2 linked regions of the Canis lupus familiaris genome follow. The protein of the gene in region 1 purifies or fractionates together with the protein of each later gene. This does not show direct contact. Links are inferred from orthologs where the notes say so. Each region holds a gene or a part of one and is shown on either strand. Other genes may lie near its edges.

The links.
Region 2: the proteins of PTPRU (region 1) and GOLIM4 purify together in Homo sapiens (affinity purification with mass spectrometry; 3 studies listed by BioGRID and IntAct, counting the BioPlex papers as one, with this or other methods). This does not show direct contact. The link is inferred for Canis lupus familiaris from reciprocal best matches to the Homo sapiens genes PTPRU and GOLIM4.

The regions. Positions count from the first base shown.
Region 1 is NC_049223.1:70,748,742-70,764,683, reverse strand, and holds the start of PTPRU (receptor-type tyrosine-protein phosphatase U), read left to right. Parts: upstream 1-6,962; 5' UTR 6,963-7,045; coding exon 7,046-7,118; intron 7,119-9,761; exon of another isoform or gene 9,762-10,346; intron 10,347-15,942. Other genes in the region: MECR (enoyl-[acyl-carrier-protein] reductase, mitochondrial), read right to left, coding at 213-367.
Region 2 is NC_049255.1:33,049,411-33,063,967, reverse strand, and holds the end of GOLIM4 (Golgi integral membrane protein 4), read left to right. Parts: intron 1-5,587; coding exon 5,588-5,668; intron 5,669-5,969; coding exon 5,970-6,119; 3' UTR 6,120-7,713; downstream 7,714-14,557. UniProt on the Homo sapiens protein: Plays a role in endosome to Golgi protein trafficking; mediates protein transport along the late endosome-bypass pathway from the early endosome to the Golgi.

The sequences.
Region 1 (15,942 bases):
GACTGTGCCTCTCCGGCCTTCAACTACCTGGAAGCACCGACTTTCCGAGCTTCCCAACGCGCCGGGGGCTTCCGTCGGGGTCCCGTTACTCTCCGCCTTCTTCGTTCCCCCCCCCCCCCGCCCCGGTCCCTCCTTCGTCAGTCCCCCCTTCTCCACAGCGCGTCCTAACCCCCTCCAGCAACCCCTGGCCCCGTTTAGGCGCCGCCTCTTACTCGACGACCTTGGCTGGGTCCCCATGGTGCCCATAGATCAGCGCCCGGACCCGGGAGGACTCGGCAGGTGCGGAGCAGGGAGCGGCGGCAGACCAGCCGCGGCCCCAAGCGAGGGACGGGGTTCGCGTCCCCAACAGCGCGCCGCGGCCCCACATGCTTCCGGCAGAATCTCGGAGCCCGACAACGCGCTGACGTCATCCGCCTGCGCCCGCGCGCGCCTGCGCCTGCGCCCCGCCTCCCGCCCCGCCCCGCCCCGTCTCGTGACCACGCCCCTCGCTCCTTTTAAAAGGTCGCCCTCTTCCTCGGTGGCCCGCGCTGTGGCGCCTGCGGAGGCCGCGCGGGGGTGCAGGGGCGCGAGGTCGAAGGTGGAGGTACCCGAGGGAGTTGCGGAGCCTCGGCGCCGGTCAAAGTTGTTCTCCCAGATAGGAGCGTCTGAGAGCGGCCCAGCGCTGTGTCTGCAGGCTGCGATTCGGTGTTCGATTTGCGGGAAGTCATTTACCCTTCCCTCCCAGCGCTCACCTGTGCCAGACCTTTTAGGGCATCACCTCGCTGAATCCCTGCTGCCCTGGAACAGCACAGGGAGGCAAAGTTCACCTCCTTTACCAATGAATAGCGTCCGTGTAACTTGGTGTGGAGATGAGAGTACTCAGGCTCGGAGCTAGAAGATTTAGGTTCATCTCCTCGTCCTAAAGCTTTCTAGTTTGGCCACCTTGGGCTAGTGCCTGAAGCTCCCAGGCTATTTCCCCATGGGTCTGCAGGAGAAAGGTGCTCTGGAAGGAGCCCAGGGTGGAGATGGGGCTCTTGCAGGAAGTGCTGTTGGAGCCTGTCCTACTCAAAATCTTCAGTGTGCATAAAAATCGCCTGAGGCCACATCTCGAGCCTACTGAATTAGAATTTTGGCGACAGGTCCTGGAATCTACAATTCCTACAAGCTTTCAAGAACATTCTGATGCAGGTGGCCCAGGAAACAGGCTTAGGCAAACACTGATCCAGGGCTCTGAAGGATAAGGAAGAGTTCCTTTCTCTAGATTTTATTGACCCAAAACTTGCCAGCTCCAAGCCTTTTCTCTGAGGAAGAGAAGAAAGCAAAGTGCTCTCCCGAAAGCTGCCGGTTGTTGGATTCTGGCAAAACTGTCTTTGAGTCTTGGCTCTGCCATTTTCCAGCTATTGGATTTTGGACAAGTCACTTGGCCTCTCTGTGTCTCCATTTCCCTATCCTTAAAATGAAGGAAATAGTAGTATTTGTTTCAAGGCTGTTGTGAAGATCAAGTGAGCTATTATTCACTGGAAGCATTTAGCACAATTCTTGGCACATGAAAGCATTTGATAAATGTTATTAAGTTATTGTGAAGATTAGATGGGAAATAACATATATAAAGCACTCAGTGTTTTAGGGTCTGGCTCATACTATGTGCTCAAAAAATGTTTGTACCTGTTTTTATTAATAGAGAAAGTAGATGTCCCATGTTGGAGGAAAGACTTGGTGTTACACTTGTATGTGAGTGTGCATGTGCCTGACCATGCACGCACGCGCGTGCGCACGCACATACCCACAATGCCTAGTTTTGCTTACCTTCTGTTTTCACTGTGACACACACACAGATCTGTTGAAGATTCTCTAGGTGACACTGAACTGTTGACATTATCTTCTGTACCAAATTGGATCCTCTGAATTCCCTGGACAGCCTTGCTGGAAAGCCTGGAGAATCATCCAGCAGGTCTTCCTCCTGGAGGCTGGACTTAGTCACCACCTCATTCATCCCAGTAGCCCCCACTTTTCAGTCCAGGACACCAATTTTTATTTGAACTATGTCAGGAGCCTTCTTCCTAACTGAAATCCTCTCCCCCTACTTTCCTTCTTTTTTCCTTTCCCAGGCTTCCAGAATGATTTTTTAAAAAATATTTTTAAGTAATCTCTATACTCAATGTGGGGCTGGAACTTATAAACTTGAGCTCAAGAGTCACATACTCTACGTACTAAGCCAGCCAGCCACCTCCAGAATGATTTTTTTTTAAACAGAAAGATCCAATTTTGTGTTTTCCTTGCTTAAAGTTCTTCTGTGACTCCCCAGTACTTAGACCCAGAAGCCACAGTTCTTGGTAGGACACCATGAACTACTGACATGTTAGATTTAAAACTGTAAGAAAACAAAACAAAACAAAACAAAATGAAACCGCAATTCTACGCTATACCATTCTCTTGTACAACTGACATGTGCTAAAGTCTTCAGAAAAGTGACGGAGGAAAAGCACCTTCAAAAAAGAAGATTCTATTCAGTAGTTAAGTACCTTCTTGCAAGTTAGAAAGAGATGGCTATAGTTTTAATTTAGTGGCTGAACCCCTCAGCTTAGCTTGAGGAGCACCTGGTTTCCCCAGGACTTTTGCTGGAGAACTACTGATTGAGGGGTTCAAGTCTCGTTTTCATGGCCTTGTATCCAATACCCTCTACCTTCCGAGTCACACACTGTTTTTATCTCCTGCTATAAGACCTGCGCATAGCCCATGATCCAACAGCACCTGATACCCACCTTTCCTAGCAATTCCATGTCTCATGCCTTTATTTGGGTTGCTGCTTCAGCCTGAAATGCTCTTCCTGCCTTGCCTACCTGGGAAACTCCAGGCTCAGATATCATTTCTTTGATGTTGTTTTCCAACTTGCTAGGTAGAGTCAACCTTTTCTGCCTTTGTGTTTTCTCTGAACTGGTGTTATGGCCTTTAGGGCACAGTCCCTTATTTATTTACGTGTCCACTCCCCCCTCTGGGCAAGAGTGGGTCGTGTTTGGTGCATCTCCATGACACCAGTACCCAATATGGGGCCTGGTCCAGGGTAGGCGTCATAAATATTCCATGAGTTGAAAGTAATTGAATTTCCTCATGGCCTGGCCCTATCTGCGGTGCTGTCTCCTTTTCCCCTAGATTTGGGCAGGTCACTCCAGGCCACTCAAAGATTCTAGAAGTCTGTTATCCTTTTTCAAGTGAAGCAGAACATTCTTTGTTCATCTGTTCACCTGTTGCTTGTGTTCTCCTTCTCTCTCCCTGACAGTCTCTGCCCTGCAGTCTTCTATATAAAGAGTGAGAGGAGATGTGGAATCCATCAGGTCTAAGTTTGAATCCTGGGCCCACCATCCACTATTCTGTAAGTGGACAAGGTGCCTCATCCTTTCTGAGCCTCAGTGTCCACATACAAAAAAAAAAAAAAAAAAAAAAAAGGCATCAATAGTAAACTCCTGTCAAGAAGCTCTCACAGGAATCCCCTGCAAACAGCATCATTCTTGGCTGTTTCTTCTTGTCACTGGATTTCTCTTCTTGAGAAAAAAAATCTTTTTTTGTTCTGGTGAGTCCTTCCTGTCTCTTCCTTCTCCAGCATCTGTTTCTTCCCCATCACCTTTTTCTTGCTTCTGACTTTCTCCCTGTGATTCTCTCTCTGTCTGATTCTCTGATTCTCTGCCTCTGGTCCTTCCTTGCCTGTCTCCCTCGACCCCTTCCCTAGCTCAGCCTGTTGCTCATCTGGGCTCACAAGAGAGAGAAGCAGGAGCTCAGAAGCCTTCAGCCCTCCCTCCTCTAGGCCCAGGCTGACCTCACTTGTGCCACCCTCAGTGAGGAGCCAGCCTGCAGTGGAGGCAGTACACAGGAAGGCCTAGATAGATCTTGAACTCCTAGGTTCTGTCCTGTGTCACTACCGCTAGTTAGATCCACCTGCCCATGGGTCCCTCTGTTTCCATAGTCTGTTCCCCACTTGGTTCATCTGAAGACTTAAAAAAAAAAGTGAAAGATCAGGACTTTTTACTCTTCTGTTTAATGCTCCAATAGCCTCTTACCTCTCCTAGTGTTTAATCCAAAGCTCCATAGTGTCTTGCATGACCTGCAGATCCTGCTGGCCTCTCTAGTTACATCTGGTTCCCCTTTCTTCCCCATTCTATTCCAGCAACCCTAGCCTGGCTCTTCCTCAAATGCACCAGCTCCTGCTTTTGCATGGGCTGTCCCTTCTGGCCACAGTGTCCCTCCCCACTGATTTGCTGGCTCCTTCTCTCGCCTCAGGTCCTGGCTCACATGTTTACCATATCACTTCTTCTGGGAACCCCCTTTGAATCCTCTTAACTCAAGTAGGATCACCTCTAATTATTTATCAGGACATTCCTTCCATTTTCTTTAGAGTACATATCACAGATTATAACGACATATTTTGCATGTTTGCTATTGGTCTTTTCCCTGAGTGTAAGTTTTGTGAGGGCAAAGCCCATGTCTGCCTGTATTCATTCATTTGTACACTCAGTGTTTTTTGAGTTTCAACTACATGTTGGACATGACGTTTTGGGATACAAGACAAAATCCTTGCCCTTAGGGAGCTCATGTTCTGAGTGGGTGAGAAAAAAAAAAGAATATGTCATACGGTAGGTGCTTTGTTTAAAACTGCAATAATCTGCCCCCGCTCCCCTCCCCCAGCCTCCCTTCATTTCTCCCTTCATTTCTCTGGAATATTTCCCATATACCAGAAGCAGTGGTTTATCACTATCTCACATATCAGAGAATTTACTTGTTTGGCTGTTTATTGTTCTTGTTTTCTCACTGGAATGTAGGCTCCATGAGGGTAGGAATTTCTGTTTTATTTTTCCACCTTGGCTTATAGGAATTGTTGAATAAATGACTCACTAGCTGGGATTTGTTAATTTGTTCCAGATGGGAAGCAGATCTCAACCTCCATTCAGGTTAAGCCAGATGGCCTTGATTCAAATCTCAGTGTCACTACATACTAATGCACAACCTTGGAAAAGTCACCTCTCTGTACCTCAACACCCTCAACTGTGAAATGAGAATAATAAATCATAGTGGTGAGGATTAAATGAGTCCATGTGGGTAAAGCACATAGAAGGTGTCTGGACATAGTGATGGACAACAAGTTTGATATTGTATGAGGGCCTGTACTGGGTAGAGGCCCAAATATACTTAATCTGTGTAGCCAGATGTAGACTAGGACTGAGGAGAATTAGTGATGGAGGCAGACTTCATGGCATGAAAAAGAATAATTTTCTAAAAACCCACACTGTAAGAAGAAATAGATGAATTCACTATTACAGTTAGAGATTTCAACACTTTTCTATCAGAAATGGACAGAATCAGCAGGCAGAAAATCAGTAGGGACATGGTTACGCTCAACAACACCATAGATCATAGACATCCACAGACTATGCCCATCCAACAACAGCAGAATATACATTCCTCTGAAGCTCATGGGGGATATTCACCAAGATAGACCATATTCTGGGCCATAAAACACATCTTAACTTTAAAAGACTAGAACACCTACAATGTTGGCCCTCAGACCACAGTGGAATTAAACTAGAAATCAAAACAGAAAGATAGCTGGAAAACATCAAATGACTTGGAGATTAAATAAAACATGAATTGGGGGCACCTGGGTAACTCAGTTGGTTGAGTGTCTGACTCTTGGTTTTGGCTCAGGTCATGATTTCAGGGTTGTGAGATCCAGTTCTCATCAGATTCTGTCTTCAGTGCAGAGTCTGCTTGGGATTCTCTCCCTTCTTCTCCCTCTGCCTCTCCCCTTGCCCCTCCCCCTGCAAGTGCACCCAAGCAAGCACTAGAGCTCTCACTCTCTCTCTCTAAACAAATAAAGTCTTAGAAAATAACACATAGATCAAAGAAGAAGTGTTGAGAAATAAAAAAAATTATTTATTTTTTTAAAGGATTTTTATTTATCTTTGAGAGACACAGAGATAGAGATCTAGGCAGAGGGAGAAGTAGGCTCCATGTAAGGAGCCCAATGCAGGACTTGATCCCAGGACTCTGGGATCATGCCCTGAGCTGAAGGCAGCTGCTCAACCGCTAAGCCACTCAGGTATCCCTAAAAAAACATTTTAAACTCCATGAAAATGAAAACACAACTTGAAAAAATGTATGGGATGCAGCAAAAGCAGTGCTTAGAGGGAAATATATAGCATCAAATGCATATGTTAGAAAGGAAGAAAGATCTAAAATCAATCAGCTAAGCTCCCGCTTTGGAAACTAGAAAAAGGAGAGCAAATTAAATCCAAAGGAAGCAGAAGAAAGAAAAAACTAGAGCAGAAATCAGTGGAATCGGAAACAGGAAGTCATAAGAGAAAAATCAACTCCACCAAAAGCTGATTCTTTGAAAAGATCAACAAATCAACAAGCCTCTCCTCAGGCTGAGAAAAAGTGAGAGCACATGAGTTACCAATAGCAGAAATGAAAGAGGGGACATCACTACAGATCCCGTGGATATTAAGAGGATAATAAGGGAATATTATGAACAACTTTAAAAGCCAGCGTTTCGGAAGACCCAACTATCTGGTTTTGGTAGGCGATGAGCACTCTGTCCTTGAAGGTATGTGCATTTGGAGGGGCCTAGGTAGGAGGGCATTCAAGCATCAAAGGGGACAGAAGCAGGGTGTCTTTGGGTCTCTGTTCCAAGAGCGCTGTTGCAGAGCTAAGCGTGGGCAGCGAGCGTGCTGGCTTGAGAATGTCGGTGCTGGGTGATGAAGAGACCTGGCCCGGGACCCCTTGGGGGGGGGGCGGGGGGGGGCGGGCGTGGGGGAGGGGCGCGCCGGGGCAGCCCGAGACCGGACCGGCTGCAGAGCGCGAGGCTGCCGGCAGGGGGCGCCGCGAGACCGCGGAACCCGCGGCGGGGCCTGACGTCAGCGCCCCGCTTGCTTGGGCTCCCGCTCTGGACTCGGCGCCAGTCCCGCTCCGCGCCGCGCCGCTTCGCTCCGGCTCTGGCTCGCCTCGGGCTGGGCTGGGCTCGGGCTCTGGCGGCGGCACCCCTTGCGCCGGGCCCCGGGGCAGGCGGCGGCGCGCTATGGCCCGCGCCCAGGCTCTGGTCCTGGCGCTCACCTTCCAGCTCTGCGCGCCCGAGACCGAGACTCCGGCAGGTAAGCGCGCGTCGGTCCGACCGAGCTTGCCCCGCGGAGCCCCCGGGGCCCGTGGCGTAGCTCTCAAGAAAGTGTAAGTGTTAGGAGACCGGGCGTTCGGCTCCCTGCGTGTGCCTGAGTGCTGGATGCGCGATCGGGTTCTCCCGGCGTTGTGTGTATGCGAGCGTTGTGAGTCCGTGAGTTATGTGTGCACCAAAAGGTGCCGTGTGCGTTGTGCGTCCGCGAGCGTGTTGGGGGCATGTTGTGTGCATCGAGGCGCTGGGTGTGCGCCGTCTCGTGCGCCTGCCAGTGTGTAGTGTTTGTGCGGCCAAGTAGGTGGTGTGTGTGCATCTGAGTTTGGTTGTGTGGCCGGAGTTGTGTATGCGAATGTGTTGCATTTGTTTGCGTTTCGTACGCCGCGGGCAGGGAGTGCTGCCTGTTGTGTCCGCGCGGGTGCTGTGGGTTGGTGTGCTGCGTGTGACCGGGAGTGCTCCGTGGATTCCGTCCGCGTGTGCATCGGGGGACGCGCGTGTGGTGTGTGTGCTCGTGCGGTCCGTGTACGTGTGCGAAGGCGTGGGAACGGGTCCGGAACGCGTGTGTCCGTGCGCCGTGTGCGCGATGTGTACGTGTGGGAGTGTCTGGGGCTGCTGGTGTGCGCCGCCGGGGGGTCGCGTGGGTCCGGGGGAATGCCAAGTGTGCCGGGAATGCGCGTGTAGGAGCGGATGTGAGCGTGCGAGTGTGTCGCTGCGTGCCGGCTGCGTGTCCAGGAATGTGCGAGTGTGGTGCGCGCCTGGGCGGTGGCCGAGTGTGCCCGGGGCCCGGGGCCGCCCGAGGGGGCGGTGTCAGGCTGCGTGTGTGCGCGTGTGTGTGTGCGCGCGGGTGGCGCGCGGGCCCGGACCAAGTTGCCGCGGCGGCGCCCCCTCGGCTCCTGGGTCGGGCCGGGCCTGAGCTCGCGGGGGAGGAAGGGGCCCCGCGGCCGCCGACTCCGGCCTGTCGGGCTGTTTGTTGTTTCGCAAGTTCTGCGCGGCGCTGGCGGCCCGCTGCTCCGAGGCGGCGCCCGGGAGGCCGGGGAGGCCGGGGAGGCCGGGGAGGCCGGGGAGGCCCGGGAGGCCCGGGGGCGGCGGGGGCGGCGGGGGGGAGGGCGCCCCTGCGGGGCTGGCCGGCGGGGGAGGGGCCGGGGGCGCGGGGGGGCCGGGGGCGCGGGGCGGGCGGGCCGGGGCCTCGGCGGCGGGACGGCGCCCCCTCCCGGGGCGGGCGGGCGGCGCGGCGGGCGCGGGGTCTCCCGGGACACTCCCTCCGTGGACTCCGCAACTTTGCCGGGACCGCGGCGCGCGTGTACGTGTGCGAGCGTGTGTCTCGGTGCCGGTGCGGGGCTCGTGTCTGTGTGTCCGTGCGTCGGCCGTGCGCGTGTGTCGGCCTCCCCTCCCCGCCCCGCACCCTTCCCTGCGGCCTGAGATCCCAGCCCGGGCCCCTGCGGCGGCCGACTTGCGCCCCACCCGTGCCCCGGGCAGGGGCGGCCCGTCGTCCTCCCGCGGCCTCGTCCTCTCAACCCACCCCCCCCCCCCCCCGTTTGGGTGGCTGGAGCCCGGTACCCAGGGGCGCCGAGTAACGGGGAGACGCCCCACGCAGAGATCGGAGCCAAGGCACGTGCCGGGCCACCTGGGCCCGGAGGGACTCCTCCCGGCCTCCCCGACTGGAGCTCGCTGCCCCGCCGCCCCCTCGGGCCTCCCGGGCCTCCCAGGCCTCGCTCCTCTAGCTCCTGCAGCCGCTCCTGCGGGTGGCTGGGAGCTGGGAGCTGGGGCCCGGCTTCCTATCCGCCCCCCAAGCCCTCCAAGCCCTCCTCCAGCAGCTTTGTCCCCTCCCCCCACCCCGAGATCAAACCGGAGGGAGGGGTTCGCTATGTGCCTCCCCTCCTCCCACCGCGGCTCGATTGCGAGAACCCTCCTGTGCCTCACCCCCTCCGGGCTGGGGGGACTGTCAAGAACTGAGATTTGGGATGGAAGTGAGATCTTGGGCAAGTTACTTCCATTTTGGGGGTCTTGGTTTCCTCCTATGCCTTATGGGCATTAAAATAATGGGGCATCGTACTTGGTGGATTGTAGAGCAAGGCTCTGTGAGTGCCAGGGAACAAAAGATGGTTTTGAGGACTGTTGCAGAGCCCCAGAAGCTGTGATTTGAAGCCAGGGGGACCTGGGTTCAAATTCTACCCCTGCCACTTGCTGTCCTTGTGACCTTGGGCAAGTCACTTCACTCCTAAAGTTCCTGGGACGCTTGTAGCTATTACCTTTAGGGCTTCATTCATAAATAAATGCTTTGTAGAAGGGATACGATGTATCCTTGCCCCAAACCTGGGGGAAATCAGCCTGGCTCCCTGAATGCGTGGAGTCCCCTGGCCCACCAAGGGTGGGTGTGTGCTGTCTCACAGTCATGCAAATCTGGCAATAATTTATTCCTCTGTGTTCTAGCTCATTTTGTCCTTTTGCTTGCTTGCTGGGGTTGTGGACAACAGGAATGAGGGAGAGGCTGCCCAGTGGTTTCAGGTTGGGCAATAAAGGCTTGTCTGAGCAGCTGGCCCTTCTCCCTGAGGCTGGGGGGAGGAGACTCCACAGGATGTCCTGACTCCACCCGGGTGGGGGTGCTGAGTTCCTTGGCAGCCCCCTGCCCAGCTCAAGTGTCAGAGAGAATTCAGGGCAGGCACCTGCTTGCTTGAGGCATGCTGCCATCCTTCCATGCTGTCATCTAAGCTAAGCTGGACTTGTGGGGTGGCCTTTTCGTGCAGGGCTGGGCTAGTTAGAGTTGCTAGGGGTGCCTTGTGCCCCCTTCCTCCCACAACCCCCTTCTGTCCTCCACACTGTGCTTTCTCCCCAGAACTCTCTAATTCCACCTCTTCTCCTCGTGAACTCTTCTTGTTCTTCCTTCAGGTCTCAGCTAGGCATCACCTCCTCCCTGAAGCCTTCTTTGGTTACTCCCTGTTCTAGCTCAGGAAGGGAGAGTGGGGGTTGATTGAATTTTTTCATAGCATTGTAATTAGTGTAATTACGGTTTATTGGTCCTTTCTCCCTTCCAGATCATGAGCTCTGTGAGGACAGAGACTGGGTATTTAGTTCACCTCTGATTGCTTAGTGTCAGGTAGAAATCCTGGCCCAATCCTGGTTGCTGAATAAATGTGGCAAGAAGGAATGAATGCGGTCCAGTGGGTCAAGTTCTGAGCTGGAGAAGCCAGATGGGGGCGCACTGACTCCATTGAAAGTAAGAGATGAAAGAAATCCGTTTTCCCTCCAGGAATCTGGAAAATTCTGCCGAGGGATGGTGTTGTGTGTGAAAAGGCCACGTACAGAGTCATCTGGGAGCTGTGAGTTGGGGAGGTTGAGTCCCTGGCAGAGATGGAAGGGAGCAGACTCCTGCCTGCCAGCCCCTCCCCCCAGCTTCCAGTTCTGCCTCCAGCCCCGCCCCCCCAGCAGCTGGCAGGGCCTGTCCTGCCCTCAGGCTCGGCCTTTGTGCTGGAGGCCTCGGCAGGTGGTGGGAGGCTTGGAGTCCCAACCGTCAGTTTGAGCTGAGCGTCCTGGGAGGAGGGAGGGCAGGCCTTGCCTCAGTTCTCTTGTCCTAGATCCTGGAGTAAGGCAGGTGGGGTCCTGTGTCCTGACTGTGAGCTCCAGGGAGGGGAGGAGAGCCGCTCCCGGTAGTGCCCCCTGCAAGTGGGGTTGTGGGAGGTTGGCTGATGTGTGCAGGTGTGATCCTGGCATCTGGGCAGTCAGGATGGGGTGAGGGGTGTGTGTGTGTGTGTGTGTGTGTGTGTGTGAGTGAGTGATCGTATAGTTGTAGCCTGGGGCACAGGACATATGTGTGGCTTGTCAGGGTGTCTAGCCATCTGGTTACCCTGTGTGGTAGGATCTGAGTTCTGAGTTTGAGATAGGGAGGTGACCAGCTGTTTGGATCCTGGGGAGACTGCTGCTGGGGTGTCTTGGTACCTAAGTGTCAAATTTCTGCAGTTTGGGTGCAGATCTGTTTGGGCGGGTGGTACCTCAGTATCTAGGTGTGGGCATCCTAGTGCCAGGCTGTGGGAGGATCAGGGTGTGCCAATCTAAGGATGTCCCAGTGTCTCTGGATCTGGAGGTGGGAGTATCCAGGTGTCTGGCAGTCTTAGGTTAATGGGTGTTCAAGTACAAGAGTGTCTCTGTGTTGTGTCCACATGTGGGGCTGAGTACTCGGGTGTCTGGGTGTGGGGTTCCCAAGTGTCTGGATATAGGAGTGTGAGGGTATCTGTGTCCAGCAACAGGGTACCCATGCGTTAGAATATCCGAGTGTTTGTGAGTCTGAGTGGGGGAGGCGCCCTGTGGTAGGTGTTTCTGTCTCCAGGAAAGGGTGTACATGTGTTGGGTGGGGAGTGTCCTGATGACTGTGTGCTGCTCTGTACCAGGGCCTCTGCCAGCTTGGCTTCTGACACCCCTTCCCTGGAGTTTGTCTCCCAATCTCCCTTTAGACCCCAAGGCCAGGAGCCTCTGGAGAAGGGCCCGATGGTTCTCCTTCTCCATGCTGAGTCAGTCTAGAGCTGACTTTCAATAGAACTTCCTACGATAGAACTTCTAACAACGTTGGAAATGTTTCCTACCTGCACTTTCCAACATGGTGGCCACTTATGTGTGGTTATTAAATTTAAATTGCTTAAAATTCATGAAAATTAAAACCAGCCCCTCCATCACACTTGCCAGACCTCAAATCCTCAAGAATCTCGTGTTGCTGGTGGCTATTGTGTTGGTCGGTGCAGGTGGTGGACATTTGTATCTGGGCAGAAAGTCCTAGGGACAGTGCTGTCCTAGAGGTGTGAGGCCTGGACACCTCAGGGGGTGGAAGTGATCTGATTGAACCGTCGTCACTCAGCAGCCATGGAAGAAGGTTTTGTTGAATCTATGTCCCCTTCCTCCCAGCCCATCATTACTTGCCTGGACTCTTGCAGTAGCCCTCCTTGGTCTCCATTCTTCCATCAACTCCCCAGTGCTTCCAGCACCTGTGACCTGAATGATGTCTATTGGGCAGACATGGGATATTGCCACTTGCTTGCCCCAAGCTGAAAGCTCTCCAGTACCCAGGAATGAAACCCAAACCCTGTATGATGCACACCCCACTTTCTGGAACTGCTTCATGTTTGTGCCTCTCCTCCCCTGACCACATTCCTCCTTGTCACCTTATGATCTGGGATCACCGGGCCAGTGCTGATCCCAGAACCCCCCAGGCTCTTTCACACCCCTCTACTTTTGCACATGCTGTGCCTTCTACTGAAAATGCCTCTCCTGCCCTTCTTACCTTGTGGGGGCCTGCTAATCCAGCCTCAGAGTCCAGCTCTGTTATTCCCCTAGGGACACTCCTCACTTCCCCACCCCCTGCATGGCTTTTTCAGGTTTCTCCCATAAGGCATGTGGGATAGCCTGCTGAGTTGTTTTCCATCTTTTTTGCCTACTGGTTGGAAGTCCCCTGAAGGCTAGGCTGGGTCCTTGTCATCCTGTCCCCAGGCCTTTGTATATGGCTGGTCCCCACTCAGTGTTTGCATTGATGTGAACCCCTGGGTACACAGGGAAGGCTTGGAGTGGGTGGAGGGTGGTGCTGGGCTATCACAGATGGGGGCCAGTATACTCTCTTGGCTTGCTCTGGGCAGGGTTGGCATTGCCTTCAGAATGGCCAGGGGAGGACTCCTGAGGTGGACAGCCAACAGGCTCATGAAGTCTTGGGCAGATTCCCAGGGTGCAGATCCCAGGACCTAGTGGTGGATCAGAAGGGATGTGGAGAACAGAGACTCAGAAGGGTCCCTGAGGTTTTGTAGTATAGAAGCTGTGTAGGAAGGGCTGGGATGGGGGAAATTGGGAAGGGGTGTGGTTGGGGATATCTGATGGCCAGGATCACAGCTGGGGGCAGAGTAACAGCTGGGGGATGGGGGACAACTGGGCATGGGAGATAACTAGGGATGAAGATATATCTGGAGACGGGACAGCTGGGACCAAGGGGACAGGTGTTGTTGGGGAACAGCAGAGGGTTGGGAGTCAAATGGAGAGAACAGGAGAACATGGAGCATTTGGGGATAAGGAGGTGACAACTTGGGGCAGCTGGGTGGCTCAATCAATTAAGTGTCCGATTCTTGATTTCGGCTCAGGTTATGATCTCAGGATCGTGAGATTGAGCCCTGCATGGGTCTCCGCACTGGGTGTGGAACCTGCTTTAGTCTCTCTCTCTCCCTCTGTCTGTGTTCCTTCCCTCCCCTCCCCTGGTCACACGCATGTGCACTCTCACTTGATCTTCAAAAAAAAAAGGAGGTGACAACTGGGAGGTGTCAGAAATCTATGTGGATGACAAGGATAGATAGGTCTTAGCTGAGAGGGTGAGGGATACGTTGCTCAGAATGTGTGTGTATAGTTTATAGATGTGTACATGTGCACCCTTGTGGTTGCGCGTGTGTGTAAATATGTGTTTTACCTACAGTGTGATTAAGAGCCTGGGCTCTGGGTTCTAATCCCAGCTCTATCACTACTAACTGTGTAACACCTGGGCAAGTACTTGACCTTTCTGGGTCTTTAGTGTTCTCATCTGTGAGATTGGGGTCATTATAGAACACACTGCATGGGGTTGCCATGAGGATATATTTTATATGTGGAAGTATGTTGTTAGAACAGGGCCTGCCACATAGTGAGCACTGTGTAGGTGCCAACAGTTATTAAGCATGTGTGCGGGCAACCTGTGTGAGCAGAAAAGTTTGTTTCTGGCTTCTGATGAAGTCCAGGCCCCAGAGGTGGTGGTGGTAGGGAGGGCAGGAGTGACCAGCCAGGTTGGTTGGATCTGGCTTGTCTCTCACATCCTCCCTGCTGTTCATCCCACTTCTTAGTCACCCTGTCCCAGGGCCTAGTCCAATAGGTCTCCCTCCCTGTCTCTGCCCTGTCCTGCCCCACCCACACTGCCCTGCCCTGGGCTGGGGGCCAGGGGATGTGCTTTGCCCAAAAGCTTTTCAGTAGAATCTGAATTCATTGTTTGCCTGACAGCATGCTGGGGCCCTGCTCAGATATAAATACCTGGGCAATGTGTACAGTCCTGGCCTCCCATCCCATGGACAGCAACGGCTTCATCCCATGCCCTGGGAAAGTCACTGGGGTGGAAAATGTTGGGGTTTGGAGGACAGGGTGGAGGAATGAGTCCTCAGTCCCCAGTTGGTGGATTAGCCAGCCTAGACTGGCAGAGCTGGAGGCACAGGGTCTGGGTGTCCCTGGTGTCCAGTGCATCACAGCACGTGGAAGCTCCCTGCAACACTTTTGTAGTGTGCCGCATCTTTGCCTTACACATAGCTGCACTGCATCACGGCCAAGCGTACCCTCTCTGGGGTTCCTGGGCCTAGACCTCAGGACTGGGCCACTGCACTGCATCTCAGCACTGCACTGCATCTCAGCACTGCACTGCATCTCAGACCTGCACTGCATGACCATGCTGAGATTCTGAGTTGCATTGGCCGTGTGGACCCTCCTAGGGTCTGTGTGCTCCACCTCTGCATCTGCCCGTTGTCCTGCACTGCCATCCAGTACGCGTACTGCCACTTGTGTCTTTGCAGCTCTCATCTGTGCTGTATCACTCTACCAGATGTCACTGCTGCAGCGGGAAGGTGGACTCTCCTTGGTTTCTGGGTAGAGCCCCTACACTGCCTCACTGCCTGGAACCAACTTTGGGCTTTCCGTGGCCACACTGCATGTTTGCCTTGTAGAGCATTTCTGTTCTACACTGTACTACCTCACTGGGCAGTGTACATGGCACTGGACTTGTGGACTCGCCAGGGATTTGGGACCAGCTCCTAGTATTCTTTTTTTTTTTTTTTAATTTATTCATGAGAGACCCAGAGAGAGAGAGGCAGAGACAGGCAGAGGGAGGAGAAGCAGGCTCCTTGTGGGGAGCCTGATGTGGAACTTGATCCCGGGTCTCCAGGATCAGGCCATGGGCTGAAGGCAGCGCTAAACCACTGAGCCACCCGGGCTGCCCAGCTCCTAGTATTCTATCACTGTGCTGTGCCAACAGATGGCATGCTGCTGCCACACTGCATCCTTGCATCACATGGCATCTCTGTGCTGCACTGCATGCTTGCAGCGGGTGCCTGCACTGCACTGGGTATGTGGCCTTTCCTGAATGTCTGGGCACAGCTGCTTTGCATTCCACCTTTGCACTGACTGTACCAACACAGTACACCTTTGCCTCACATAACGTTTCTGTCCTAGTGCTTTACTGCATGGAGCTGAATATGTGCTCTCTGGCCAACCCTGTCACAGTCTACTGCACCATTGCCACGCCATGCCCCTTCTGGTGTCTCAGCCTTTCTTGGGATGGCTGCTGGGGAGTTGGCTGGTGTCCTTTCCCCCAGGTTTCTGTTGGCGGTCCCAGCTGAGCAACATCTTTGCCTCAAGTGTCTGTCCTGCATGCACCCCTGCCCTACATTGCACACTGCACAAGGAGTGTGTACTCATGCTGGCTTGGAGCCACCTTGTTGGGCTTTGGGACTGGCGTGGGTTTTTGTGTGTGGCACCTTTGCACGGTACCCAGCATTGCATCTGCGCATCTGTGCATGGCACGGGGTTATTGCCCTGAGCCTCTGTCTGCACTGCACGTGTTCATGGAGCACCGAGCACCAACCGTGTACCTGGCTCTGTGCTAGGGTCTGGAGAGGGCGAAGAACCAGGAGTGCTTGAACATAGCACCTTGGCACTCCTCTGTACACCTGTCCCTGTAGCACTGAGTCCTGGCCCAGTGCACTACTGGATGTGCCGCCCTGGAGTGCTGTGCCTCTGTGCAGCTCAGGGTCATGCCCAGAGCGGATGTGACACCTCAG
Region 2 (14,557 bases), on another chromosome or scaffold:
GGGAAAAAAGAAAGAGACATGAGGGGTGGAGAGTGGTGACAGGTCGACGTGAGGACCACTGCTCTTTGTCCCTCATGTGGGCTGAACCCACCAGAGCCCTTTACTCTCCCTGCACTGGGCCCCAGATCCTGCTTCTCCTTCTCTGGTTCCCTGCTCTGAATTCCTGTTTGGTGTCTCGGCCCCACTTTCTGACCCTCTCTTGCTCTTATATAGGCTCAAGTTTGTGCACCCTCCCATGTAGGGGTGCTCTCAGCCTGCCTTTCCCCTCCCCATCCCCAGAGGCCCTTGCACAGGCTGTGTTGCCTTCCTCAGGCAGTTCCTGAGATGGTCAGCTGTTGGATCTTCCCACCTTTTCCCATTATTCCCAGTTCTTCCCTGGAAAAGGGAGAAGAGTGGTTCCCAAATACCATTTAAGGACTAACAATAGAGATGCAGTTCTCACCAGACTGCAGCAAAATGAGAAAGAGAGGAAGGCAATATGTGCAAACCCATTTCATGTTGTTTGTAAGTGATGCACGTGAGACATTTGTGGGATGCTCTGAAGACCATGCACCACCATGTCATATGCGTCCTTATCTTCACTGAGCCTCAGAGTCTTCTAGCTGCCCCAGCAGACCACAGGGAGGTACGGTCCCCCTCCCGTCCATCCCGTGTCACCTGCCTTCCATCAGCATTTGCTCCTAGGGAGGGAGTGCGTCTTGCCAGGGCCCTCCCTGCTCAGAGGTATAGCCCATCACACTTGTGACTTGAGCTCAGAGAATAGGACCCAAGACGAGTGTGCCATTTGGAAATTTGCACTATCCCCACATTTTTTTTTTTTTTAATCTTGGTGCCATAGCATTACCCTTCTAAGACAGAAAAATGATGGTTATGAACAAGCGTTCGTGGCTTCTTGTTTGGGACATTCATGTGGGGATCCCATCCCTATGTTGCTTACTTTCTAGACTTTTTATCTGCTCATGAGTAAACAAGACAAATTATGGCATTTCCAAAAAGAGTTATGGGTGCTTAAAAGTGATTGAAATGCTCAAAAATATATATACGCTACATGACCACTTGAAAACCCTGAGTGCTCATTTTCTCCAAATATAATTGGAAATAGGTCCATCTGAACACTCGTGGGAGAGCGCGCACTAGGTTATTTGGTACATTCAGTGGGACTGGGAGCCTGTGGGTGCCCATGGCACAGAGCCGGCCAGGCAGCGCACACGTGACCCGTGACCCCTGACTCAGCCAGCAGTGGTGTCCCTCACGAGAGCCACTGGTGCTGAAGGCCTTTCCTTTGTCACATTCCATCCCCGTGTTTGGACCCCAGAATTCTGGACTGCTTCAAGTTCAGCCTTCTGGTCCGTGGTGTCTCATCCTATGGCATCTTTGATGTGTAACACCAAAGCCCATTTTGGCCTCAGTAGATCTGTCTTATTTTGACAGTTAAACTTTGCTGCATCATATAGGGACCATTTCTAAAATGCCCCAGACACTAGATTTCAGTGAATTCAAAATGAGTAATGAGGAGTAGTGATGTAAATCTCTGACAAGATGTTTGCATCAGCTTTATCAAGATGCTAAGGAGGGTCGAATGTGGAAGACCTAATTGGTGTGTCTCCATTAGAAAGGAGTAACCTTTGGCTTCTCTTTTTAAGTCTAAGTATCTTTGAAAATTAGAAATGCCGTATCATTTTGTTCCTTTTCAGTAGTGCCTTGTGAGATGAATTTGCATTACTTTTGTCCCAAACATGAAGAATATATCTTGTATTTATCAATAAATTTGAAAATCACAAAATCTTTATTTGTGGTTCTCTCTAAAGAGTAACTTACAGAGGGCTTCTTACCTCAGATTCTATTGACAGCTGGTAAACAACCCAAATTTTCTATAAATAGATCTCCAGGGAATAAAAGAAGGAATTTATGCAAGGGTGTTCATCTCTAGCCAGAAATGTTCTTAATCCCCTAGTCATTGTCACTCAAGCTAGTAGCTCTCACTATTAGCTGTGGCTAAGAGTCACCTTGGAGAGTGTGTGTGAAAGGCACAAATTCCTGGCTCAGACCTTACCCTTGAAGATTTTGATCTTACCTGTGGAGGAACCTAGGAATTATTCCAGGAACACACTGTTTGGAGAAGCATTCCTCGGACAGGTGGCCACAGGTAGACTCAGGGGAGTCTGAATCTCCTGAAACTACTGTGTAAAATGATGTGTATTTGTGCCTATGTACATACATTTGCATTTCTTCCCAAAGTCTTAAAAGGGCCCATGACCCCCCGCCCTCCCTCCCCCTGACAGAAACTTAAAAATCACTGGTTTTATCAAACCTTTTTATTTTACAGATGAGGAATTTGAGCCTCGGAGAGGTTGGCTAAGTTTTTGGAACTCACCAGCTTGTTATTGTTGGAACCATGATTGGAGCCCCCCCCCCCCGCCCCCCACGTCTGATTTTAGAGGCTACTGTACTTTAGTATAACAAGCACAGTAACTAAGTAATGGATACGGGCAAGTTCTTTGTAGAAGTTAGTGAATGCAGAAGGAATGGTGAAATTAGAGAGTCACCATTTCTGTAACCCCTAATTAAAACAAGTGACTTAGGAGCCAGTCATCAATGGATGATATCACTAGGTGAATGGAGGTCAGGGAATTTTATCATGGAGCATCCGGATGAGGCAGTTGCCTTCTGAGTGCGCTGTCCGACTTCAGTCTCAAGAAAAGTGGGACGAGTGTTACGTGCCTTTTGGTGTGATGAAAAAATAAATCTGCAGCATCACCTTTGAAAAATTCTTGCTTTGCAAATTGAATTCATGTAAGTCTTTAACTTCCTTTTGTAAGAAATGTGAGGTCTAGAGGAATGAGTTAAGTCATAACTTTAAAGAAGCTGGTGAGTCCAGAGTGTGGGTCATTCTATAGCAAAACAAGTCAATAGCATTAAGGCAAAAATGCCTTCCATCAGCATTTTCTCCTAGGGAGGGAGTGCATCTTGCCAGGGCGGAACTGATGTTAGGCATGGCCTTTGTTTGGATAATGATTAGGCTAAACCAGCTGTCAATAGACATTTTGAAGATAATCAGGAAAATGCTAAGTAGGAGCTAGACTTTAGATGGTACCATGGGATTATTTATCAGGTGACAATGGCATTACGATTATATAAGAAAACGACCTTGTTTTTAGAGAGACATGGTGAGGTGGGTAGGGGTGAAATTACAGGACGTCCAGATGTCCATGCTGTAGGCAGACATCCACAGGCTGCCAGTGCCACTGAACGTAGCCAAATAACCTTGTACGCGCTCTCCCATGAGTGTTCAGATTGAGCTATTTCCAATTATAGTTGGAGAAAATGAGCACTCAGGGCTTTCAAGCAGTCACTTAATATATATATATATATATATATTTGAGCATTTCAGTCACTTTTAAGCACCCATAACTCTTTTTGGCAATGCCAAATTTTTAAATAATAGGTCATCAAAAACATAAAGAATACTGATTGATAGGTCATGCGGGAGTGGCAACGTTGAGCTAACTTTTGAGCCTTGTGGATGGCTGTAAGGAGTTCAGTGAATTACTTGCCTTGCTTGTGCTTGCTTGCAAATTTTCCTAATAGAAACAAGTGACCTTATTTTTATACAGCCAGCATTTGGGAGCCAAGGTTTTAATCCAGGTCTGTCTGTCTCTTAAGCTCCGCCACCGGGACATGTAAATACAAAGAATGCCCTGTGCCTCTGTCCCCAGAATGTATTTATTGGATGCCATTGTAGTTCAGTGGCTGTGAGTCTGGCCGACACTGGGCTGATTAGAAGAAGTTCGTAAAAGCTGGGCTCTGTCTAGGGCGTCTTTGAAGGGTCATCGTTGTCAGCTCATAAGAAGCCAGGTTCCTGCCAAAGCTTGTGCGGTGGGTTGTGCTTCATTCCTGTCACACCTGGGCTGGACACCTTGAGGCAGCCCCTGATTTGTTCCTCTTGCATTGTAACACCTGCGTGCTTTCCTTCCCCTGCCCATTTCTGGGATTTTTAACACTCCTCCCCCACCAACCAAATTTGGTAATTCTCTGTGTTGTTCAGGAAGACCTACTCTTACACCCCTGTCGTAGGACAGGTTAGATTTTCTTGTAGTCCCAGGACTCCACATGACGCTTAATGGATGGGCAGCAATTTTTTGAAATTCAAGTGACTCCAGTCTTTTGGCATACATATGGTTTTCAGAATGGTTAAGCTAGAAAATATTTTACCTTGTATTTTTGTGGAATGTAACCATTAAATAGAGACTAGTCTGCAAAAATATTCGGACGCTTTCTTTGACCTGTGTTTTGAAAAAAATAGTTGGGACCCATGACAGATACATAATAGTAATGGCTAAAATAGAAATAGTGCACTTAAAACTACTTAAAACAGTAATAGCACACATAAAGGAAAACTACTTAAAACTACTTCTACTTGGGCAGCCCGGGTGGCTCAGTGGTTTAGGGCACTCTTCAGCCCAGGGCATGATCCTGGAGACCTGGGATCGAGTCCCACGTTGGGCTCCCTGCATGGAACCTGCTTCTCCCTCTGCCTGTGTCTCTGCCTCTCTCTCTCTCTGTCATGAATAAATAAATAAAATATTTTTTAAAAGAACTATTTCTACTTAAGTAGAAAACTACTTAGAACAATGAAGAGATGTAGGGATTTGGGGCAGTTTAGTAACTATTTCAAGAAGAAATTGAAATGCTTGTGTTCTGGGTTCTAGATATGTTAGCCAGAGAACTTTATATTCTTAATTATAGGATTAGATGTACACCTTTTTTTTTTTTTTTTTACTACATCATGTGCATGTAATAAGGGTGTCTGTTTTCTGTGTCTTTAACAGAGCAGATGTTTTTTGTGTTCATTCACTTATGCATTCATTGCCTCATACATTCATCAATATTTATTAAGCAGCTGCAGTGTGCCAGGTATGCATCTAGGCATGGAAGACAATTGAGTGTAAGAGAGACGGTTCTTTCCTTCCTAGAACTCACTTCTATCAGAGCCTTGAGACTTCTAGAGTTCCTCCATTTGGAAAAGGGGAGTTTTTAATTTTATAAGCTGAATTTCTTCAGGTGCTATACTTGCAGGATTAACACTTATTCAAAGAAATGAGAAATTCAGACACGTAAGTCCTAGGCTCTAAATCAGTGGCAATGATTTTTTGTAGGGGGTGTATTACACATCTCTCCATAGCTAATAGACAAATCAGGTCTCTGATTCAAAAAGACTTGTCTTTTTTTCAAGCTTATTTTTAGTTTCTGCTACTTATTTTTTTAGGATTCTGTTTGTTTATTTGAGAGAGTGAGAAAGAGAGTGCATGCACAAGCGGAAAGGAGGGGCAGAGGGAGGGAGAAGCAGACTCCTGGCTGAGCAGGGAACCCACATGGGGCTGGATCCCGGGACCCTGGGATAATGACCTCAGCTGAAGGCAGACTGACACTCAAACAGCTGAGCCACCCAGACTCCTCATTTCTGCTACTTTTAACGAACATTTTAGAAATCAAAATATGTTCTTGCATAAGAACGTATTATCATATGTTCATATCATAATATATTAAATGATAAAAAGGGTCACCTAGTATCTCTGGTTTCTTTCAGGCTCAGGAAGATTTGACTGAAGAGAAAAAAAGGGAATTGGAGCATAATGCTGAAGAGACCTATGGGGAAAATGAGGAAAACGTACGTACAGGACAGAGATGTCCACTGCGTGCTTGTGCATGTGTAGGAGATACGTATGGCCAGTTGGGTAGATACCAGTGGGTACGTTTCACGTGCTAGCGGTTTAACAGGCCAACCTAGAATTAGGAAAACTGTGACAGTATGAGGATTAGGAAAGACTAGCACTGCTGCGTATCTGAACATTTTTCTGCACTCATTTCCTTTCTCTACAAATGAATAACTTCACATTTTTTTAAAAAAAGGAATTATTTATATCACCCACTCTATCCCCTATCTCTTTGTTTTTCCTTTTATCTTTAAGGCTGATGAAAAAAACAACGATGGCGAAGAACAAGAAGTTCGAGATGACAACCGCCCCAAAGGCCGAGAGGAACCCTATGAGGAGGAGGAGGAGGAAGAAGAAGATGGGGTTGGGGCTGCAGAGAAATCACAGCGAAGAGCGGAAATGTAGCAGTGCCCCACCTCACGGACGGTGCTCAGCCAACGGATTATTTTCAAGCTGCTCAGAAACAAATCTGCCTACTGAAACTCTAGGATATTTAATTACAAAAATTAAAAATTTAGACTTTTTTTTAACTTTTGTATTAGAAATGCTCATACATTTATATGAATATATTTTGATAACCTAGGTTTAGAGCTTCTTTTATATTTAAGCTAAACACAAAGGAGAAGAAAAACAATAAAGCAAACCTTAGCCTTTGAATCTCATTTTCATAGATCATGTGATGTTGGAAAGGGCACCGATTTTGTATATTTCAGCTTGTTCCTTTTCTATCTTCTAGTTTCCAGGTGTTCGGTTGTTAGCCTTGAAGAAAATACAGGATTTCAAATAGGGAATATTGCAAAGCGCTGTGTAGCCTTTGAGGAGAATGGTCAGTTTATTAACTGCTGCCTTTCTGAGGTTCTTGCGTATAGTTCTGATGGAATCTTCGTCCCTCTGTCTCTGGAATAAGATCCACTGCAGACTGACGTACAACTGGAAGGGCATTTTGATTATACAGACGTTGTTTTTCAGACTCTTCATATCAGTTAGAAAAATGTTTGGCTTTACCTCAAATCACAGCCGTTCTGGAAAGGAATTGGATTTTAAAAGGAGATGGTACCTAAACTCGCGCCACAGTGTTCTGGACTTTGATATTCCGGTATTCAAACAAGATGGGACACAGCAGTGTATTAACCTTCTTGAAGGACTGACACCTTGTTTAGTAACTAATTTAGTGTGTGTGTGTGGGTGGTATGGTCTTCGGGAGCACACCCATTCAGTTCTACTGAAATCATCTAGTGATATCCTTGTTTCAATATCTAGTTCTCTACAGTAATATATGTATTTCCCCATCAGCTCTGTTCCTCATTATGTAATCTCTTTGATGACAAGTATGAATATGAAGGCATTTCAGATGATACAATTGAATAGGATTATTTTTTGAAAACTATACAATGAAGTACCCATGATGATATATATGATAGACCCTCATGATTTTTCTATTTTCAGGGACCCGGGCCTGTGTGATGCCCATGGATGGCATTTTAATGACTACAAAAGTCCCCTAAAATTAAAAAAAAAAATAAAATAAAAAATTTCTTTTGAGATCAAGACATATTTGTCTTTTTACATAAAGATTTTTAAATATCTAGAATTAGGTTATATAATTCATATGTGTGTGGTTTTTATAGTAATACACTCAAATTAGTAAAGACAAATTTAATTTCTACCATTGTATGAATGTAATGTTAGTTTTTAATAACCACACTCATGTATGGTTTTGATTATCCCGGTGGAGTGATTGTGTATGTATGCATAGGAATGTTTTGTTCAAATGTATTTTGGATTTTCAATAATCATGAATCAAATTTTACCTTTATGTATAAAAACCCTTTATGTAATGTAAAATGTATAATATTGTACATAATATTCAGAATACAATTATTTTGGTAAATTAGTTTGTATTTTTAATGTCCCAGTTGCAGTATTTAATTATTTGAACCACCTTGAAACTTGGTAATCATCAATAAAGCTATAAAAAGCAAGTGGTAAATCTTTTAAAGTCCTTGATTTCTTATTTCTGATCTTATTCTTCAGTTGTTTTTCATAAGGAGAAACATTTTAGGAGGCACCAGCCTATATGAATGAATTATAAAATGCCCTCCCCAACCTTTTCCTACTTTCCTTCTCTCTTTAATTGGAGTGGTACTTTATTTTCCCCCTTTTCCTAAAGAAAGAGCTAAGAATTGTTATTTGTGCTAGTTCTTGGGGAAGAAATGATAACCAGGTACAAAAATGTAAGAGACTATCATGTGAGCACACACAAAACAAAAAAACTATTAAATCCTCCCTTGGAAAGCAACCATCACGAGCCATTGTACTCTGTATGACACCAAGTTATAGTCCCATTCTAGCTAGTGTTTGGAAGAAAACTAATCAAAGTTGAGCTACATTAATGAGATGAGCAGAAACAAAATGTCACTTGTATTTATCTTGCCAATTAATCTGTGACTTTTGGTGCAGCTGATAAATCAAAGGATTTGGTCCCAGTGACATAATCAGAAGGGGGAGGAAAGGTCACATTTATTAGGGATGAGTACAATAGAACACAAAAAAGCTATGTTAGTACAATGTAATGACAAGATATTTCTAAGAGTGATTTTAAAAGATCCTGGAGTAAGAGTATCTTCTGAGCCACGGGTAATTCACAGCAACTCACTTCATAAAGGAAAATTATTGACATCAAATGCCTTCATGATGCAGGAGGTGTGCAAACTGTGCAAACAGGATCCACTGTATACCTATGGCGATCCTTTAAGGTTGATGGAATCCCCCATCTTACAGCTGAAGAATTTTGCCCTCCTGGAGCATTTGACATTGCTTAGCTGCCTTGAGTTCTTTGTTTTGTTTTTATTCCTACACTGTGGTGCATCCACGCTATGGCATGTTGCACAGCCGTTAACCAAAAAATAGGTCAATTTATATTCTTGAATTCTCTTCTGTCTTCTATTGGACTGTCTCTTCCTAGTTTTCTGCTTACCATCCTGGCTACTTTTTCTCAAGCTTTTCTTCCCCGCCCCCTCCCCCCCCCCCCCCCCCCCCCAGGATTTTCTGCTTCTATCTGCCCTTAAATATTAGTGTCCTTCAGCTTTTGTCCTGGAGGTCTTTCCTCTACAACCCTCTCCCCATCCATGTCTAAGACCCATGTTTCCTGATCCATTTCTTTAGTCCGGCTTTTGAAGACCTGTTCCACTTCAGATTTATAATTTTTAAAGCTGAATTTGTCTTTTTTCCCTGCCTAAAACCTACTTCTAGGTTCAGCATCTCAGTTCACTAAGTTTCCCAAAACAGACACAAAGCTTGTCCTCGATTCTGTCTTCACTCCCTACTGATGCTACCAAGATTTCTTTAAATTTGACCCTTTTTTTTTTTTTTCCATCTTTACTATCCTGGTTCTGGCTGTTGTTACCTTTTTTTACTTGGACTATTACAACAGTCCCTTAACCTCTCTCATTTGCTCTTTCCCACCAATCCCTAAAATCTGTGCCAGTGTGATTTTTCTAAAGATAACATTAACACTCCCCCATTATAAAGTTATTTAATAAGTTGCTATTCCACATAAGAAAAATTACGAACTCTTAAATATAACTTACATAATCATGATCTGGCCCCATCTTAGCTCTTCAACCTTGTTATTTTCATTCTAATACTGAATTATAATAAGTCTGGCTCGTCTTTGTGAAATACATTCCTCTCTTAATGTCTTGTAAGCCACCTTAACTAATGCCAAAGCTTGTTAATGCAGGATAGCTGGTGTCCATGTTCTCAGTCGTGTGGAGAAAATAATCTACAGAAGTAGAGAACAAACTTAACCCGCAAAGACAAGCAAAAATCACCGGCAGAGGTAAGACCTGTGGCATTTTTTTGGTCCTTATATCTTAACCATCCTTGATGCCAGCCGAGTCTACCCATGGGTTGATAAATAAGCAAATCCTACTTTTTCATTTGAGCTAGTTGGAAATGGATTTGTCACTTGCCATCTGAATATTCCTGACTAATACTTAATATTCAGTTCCTTTAAATCATGCTTTCCTGTATCATGGTAAATGTACTATGTACTCTCTGCAGAAAGACTGTTTAATCCTTTTTCTCTCTCTTCTTTGCCTAACTCATTGAGTTAGGTCTCCCCTTAGATACCATTTCCTTTGGGAAGGGTATACCTCCCACTCAACCCCTACCCCAGTCTAGGTTGCATACCCTTTCTATGTCCTTCTAGAACATCCTATATTTCATATTGCAGTACTCACCACAGTATATAAAAACAGCCTATAAATTTACCTATAGTCCTCTTGACATATGTTCTGTTAGGATGGAGACTTTCTCACTTACTGTTGCAACCCAAATACTGATACCTTCAATAAATATTTATGAGATGAATATTTTAGAGTTCTCATCTAAGAATATCAAGTATTTCAAGATCATACAACGAATAAATGGCAGAGCTAGGGTTCCTTCCCAAGAGAATCTGATTCCAATGTTAATTCCAAATGAAGCCAGGGTTGAATGGATCACTATCCAGTGTCACGTTCTGAGTTTCATATATTAAGAAGGTGTGCTTTAAATTCTGCAAAAACAAATCTAGTGGGAGTCAAAAATTTGATAAAGGAGCAAAACCTCAGCCATAGGCTCTTAAAGAGGAACCAAGAAATTGGAATTATTTGACCAGAGAAAGGTATATGGTCAAAAGAAGATGTAACATTGTATGTCTCTCTTCTTAGAAGCATCAACTGTAGCATGAAGAATAAAGAATTTCTTGAGAAACACATTGGTGGAGTTATGAAATCTAGAGAGGTTTTCAAATTAGAATCCATTAATCAATTAAGACTTACAAGAGCCCCCCCCCCCCCCGACCGCCCTCAAGCCAAGGAATAGATGAAATATTCTCTTAGAATGTCCCTGGGTCTTGTGACTGACTGCTGTGGGAGGGCCAGTTTTTATGGTGGAGTAGGCCATGTTTCATCCACTGATTGGCCTTTCATCTGCATACCATTCCCCTTCTGCTCTTCATTTGAAGAAAGGCCTAATCCTATAACCACAGACTTGGTCCCCAAACCAATCGTTGTGCTCCATCTGGGATTTCTATGAGGCTTGATAAAAGAAATGCTCTCTGGCTGCTCTGATGATGGCAGGAAACGTACATCTGGAGCTTCCAGGAGTCATACTCCTCATGACAGGGGGAACACCCAGTTGCAGCAGGAAGAAATGAAGCTAATACAGAATGAGGGGCTTGGGATATAAGGGAGGAAGAAGGAAAGTGGGAAAGGGTGAGAGACAGAATGATCAAGAGGATGGTATTCAGATTCCCAGGTTCTGACTTCTTTTGATTTCCCTCCGTCTTTATTCCCTTAGGCAAATTGGAGGTTCTTTTCAAACACATACAACCTAAAGAACACTGATTACTTCATATATATATATATATATATATATATATATATATGTATATATACACACATATATGTATATATATACACACATATATGTATACACACACACACACACACACACATATATATATATATATGCTTTTTTAAAATAGTATTCTGTATTAGTTTCATTTCTTCCTGCTGTAACTGGATATTCTCCATGTCACAAGAAGTATGACTTCTGGAAACTCCAGATGTACATTATATAGATAGAAGATAGATGATAGATGATGATGATAGATAGATGATAGATAGATAGATAGATAGATAGATAGATAGATAGATAGATACAGAGAAGAACAAGATTAGGATGAGAGGAAATACTTGGCATTAACTTTTCATCATATTGCCCTAAAGGTAGCAAGTTTTAATAAATAATGACATGTTTTTTTGCCAATCCCTTGATCTTCTTGTTTTTGCTTGGATCTGTCTTTAAGGCCCAGAGAATCTGTGTTGAAAGCTTTGGGATTATTTTAATGAAGTCAAGAATACTCATATATCCTCCTTCTTTAGTCTACACCAAAGATTGGCAAACTTTTTCTCTAAAGGGCCAGATAGTGAATCTTTTAGTCCTTGTGGAGCATAGAGCCCCTGCCACTGTACTGTAAAGATAGCCAAAGACAATGCATAAAGGAATTGGTATGGCTGTATTCCACTAAAATTTTCCATAAACAGAAAGCATGCTAGATTTGGCCTGCAGGTTGTAGACACCTGTTATATATGATCTGAATGCTTGCTGCAAAAATGATTATTTCAATAGAAAATAGAGCATTTTGAGATCTTCAGATATCACAAGCCCTTCTGTTTCTTTCCTATAATCCCTTCTATTTTAAGTTGGCAAGCACTCAACATTATCTCAGCTGCTGCATTTGTACACTATTTTAAGTAATTGGAAATGAAATACTTTTGTCCTTCACCATCTTGGCCGACCTTGTTCTTACCATTCCCTATATGTTACTAATGGAGCTTGAAATTAAATGTCATTTCTGTTTGTCTGTTAACACATACACGGAATTCTGTATAAGGTACATGCCTTTTAAAGAACTGATCCATTGGAAAACATGGGTTTGAGCAAGATGAGATGACTTCTTTTGGTCTGTGTGTTCTTTCTCCTTTTAAGACTTAAAAAATGGGAAGCAATTACCAAAACTGCCCATTAATACATTAATGATAATCCGATTTGTGATCTGCACTCCAAATGCTTTTTCAGGTTCTGTAGGGGTTCTGATTCCTGTTAAGTTTATGCATCCTGGTGGAATTAGACTTTTTTTTTTTCCCCATAAAGGCAACTTGAACATCTTTACATTCCCTTAGCCCTGGCCAATTACCTCCTGTGGTGGTTTTAAGGTTTTTCCACAAAATCTTTAACAGCCATCCCTTTAATAAGTAGAATCTAGTTTCCATTCCCTTGAGTATGGGTTAGACTTAGTCACTGGCTTTTAACAAATAAAATTGAAGGGAAGTGATGGTGTGTGACTCAGAGATTAGGTCACAAAGACAATGCAGCGTCTTCTATGTTCTCTCTTGGAAGCCAGGTACCAGCCTTATGTTGAGACTTACATTTGTGTGGCAAGAAATTGAGGCCTCTGGCTAGCCAACAACCAGTGAGAAACTGAGGCCTCCTGTCCACAGCCGCCTGAGTGAGTTTGGAGCAGAGCTTCCAGCACTAGTCTAGCCATCAGACTACGAGTTGAATGCAACCTCATTGGAAACCCTGAACCAGAACGACCCAGACAAGTCGTTCCCAGATTCCTGGACCACACAAACTGAGATAATAAATGTTTATTCTTTTAGGTTGCGGAGTAATTGGTTACACAGCAGTAGATAACCAATACATCTTCTAAGGAGTGTTTATAACTCAAAGTAGAGATGCCAGTGGTGAAGAGGATACACAGCTGCCTGGTAAACCTGGGTGTCGAGCCAGTTGCTTTGCTGGAAGCCACATCTAGATGCAATGGTGACAGAAGGTGAAGTTCAACTTACTGAGTTAAATAAATTGAACCCGGTTTATTTGTTCAAAGTATTAGATTATTTGGGGGCAGATATTAGTAGCCTCTGACACAGTGTTACTCAACTTGGATTCACACCTGAAGAATTTCTGAACGAGGAATACCTGGGCTCCGCTTCCAGGCACTCTGGATGACCAGCACTGGGGGGTAGTCTGGGCTTCAGGATTTATTTTAAATCCTCAGGTGTTTCTAAAGTGCAGCTAAGATTTAGATTAAGTTAAAAGAAGGAAAGAGTAATGTTCCTGCCCCAACATCTCCCTACCAGATGGTAAATTACAATTTAAATTCTGGGATTTCTAGATAAGGCTTGGCAAGAGAAATGCTCCCTGGCTCCTCTGATGATTAAAACAAGTCTCAGACCAACTCAGCAAAGCAAATATTTATAGGTAACCAGAACAGACATTAAGCTTCCCTGAAGTCTTTATCAAGGCCCAGATCCCCATCCTTTAGGCCTTCTAGACAGGCAAAAGGTGTGAAAGAGTTGCTCAGGACCAATCCTATAATATCCCAGGCACAGGATGGAGCTAAATTTCTGGCCAGATCCTGTGCCTGATAAGCTTACGAGGCCCATGTCTTCCTGCAATGGGCGCTAGGTTTACCAGGTGCACGGACCTCTCTTGGGCTGGGGGGAGGGGTCAGTACCTGTACAGCTCACCCACCTATTTTGAATACAATTCATTCATTTCTAGAATGAAAAAAAAAAAAGCATCTTTAATACCCATGGTACTAACAAAACAATGCTGCTTTAAGTGAAGAGAGTAAAAGATCTTGTGGTAGTGGTCTCTGGAGTATGAGACCACCAGTTTCCCAGCCCTGGATGCATATTAGAGCCACCAGAGAAACTTTTTTAAAAGAGCCCTGTCCTGACCCTGGTCTAATCAAACAAGAAATTCTGACGGCAGAGCCTGGACATTGGTCTTTTTATTTTATTTTGTTTTATTTTATTTTTTTAAGATTTTATTTATTTATTCATGAGAGGCAGAGAGAGAGAGGCAGAGAAACAGGCAGAGGGAGGAGCAGGCTCCATGCAGGGAGCCTGATGTGAGACTCGATCCCGGGTCTCCAGGATCATGCCTTGGGCTGAAGGCAGGTGCTAAACGGCTGAGCCACTCAGGCCGCCCTTTATTTTATTTTTTTTATTTTGATTTTTTAAAAATAAAATTTTTTTTAAATAAAATTTTTTAATTTTTAATTTTTAATTTCATTTATTTATTTGAGAGAGAGTGAGGGAGAGAGAGAGGCAGAGAGAGAACATAAGGCAGGGAGGAGCAGAGGGAAAGGGAGAAGCAGGCTACCCACTAAGCAGGGAGCCCTATTGGAGGCTGGATCCCAGGACCCTGGGATTATGACCTGAACTGAAGACAGATGCTTAACTAACTGAGCCACCCAGGTGCCCAACATTGTTTTTTTAAAA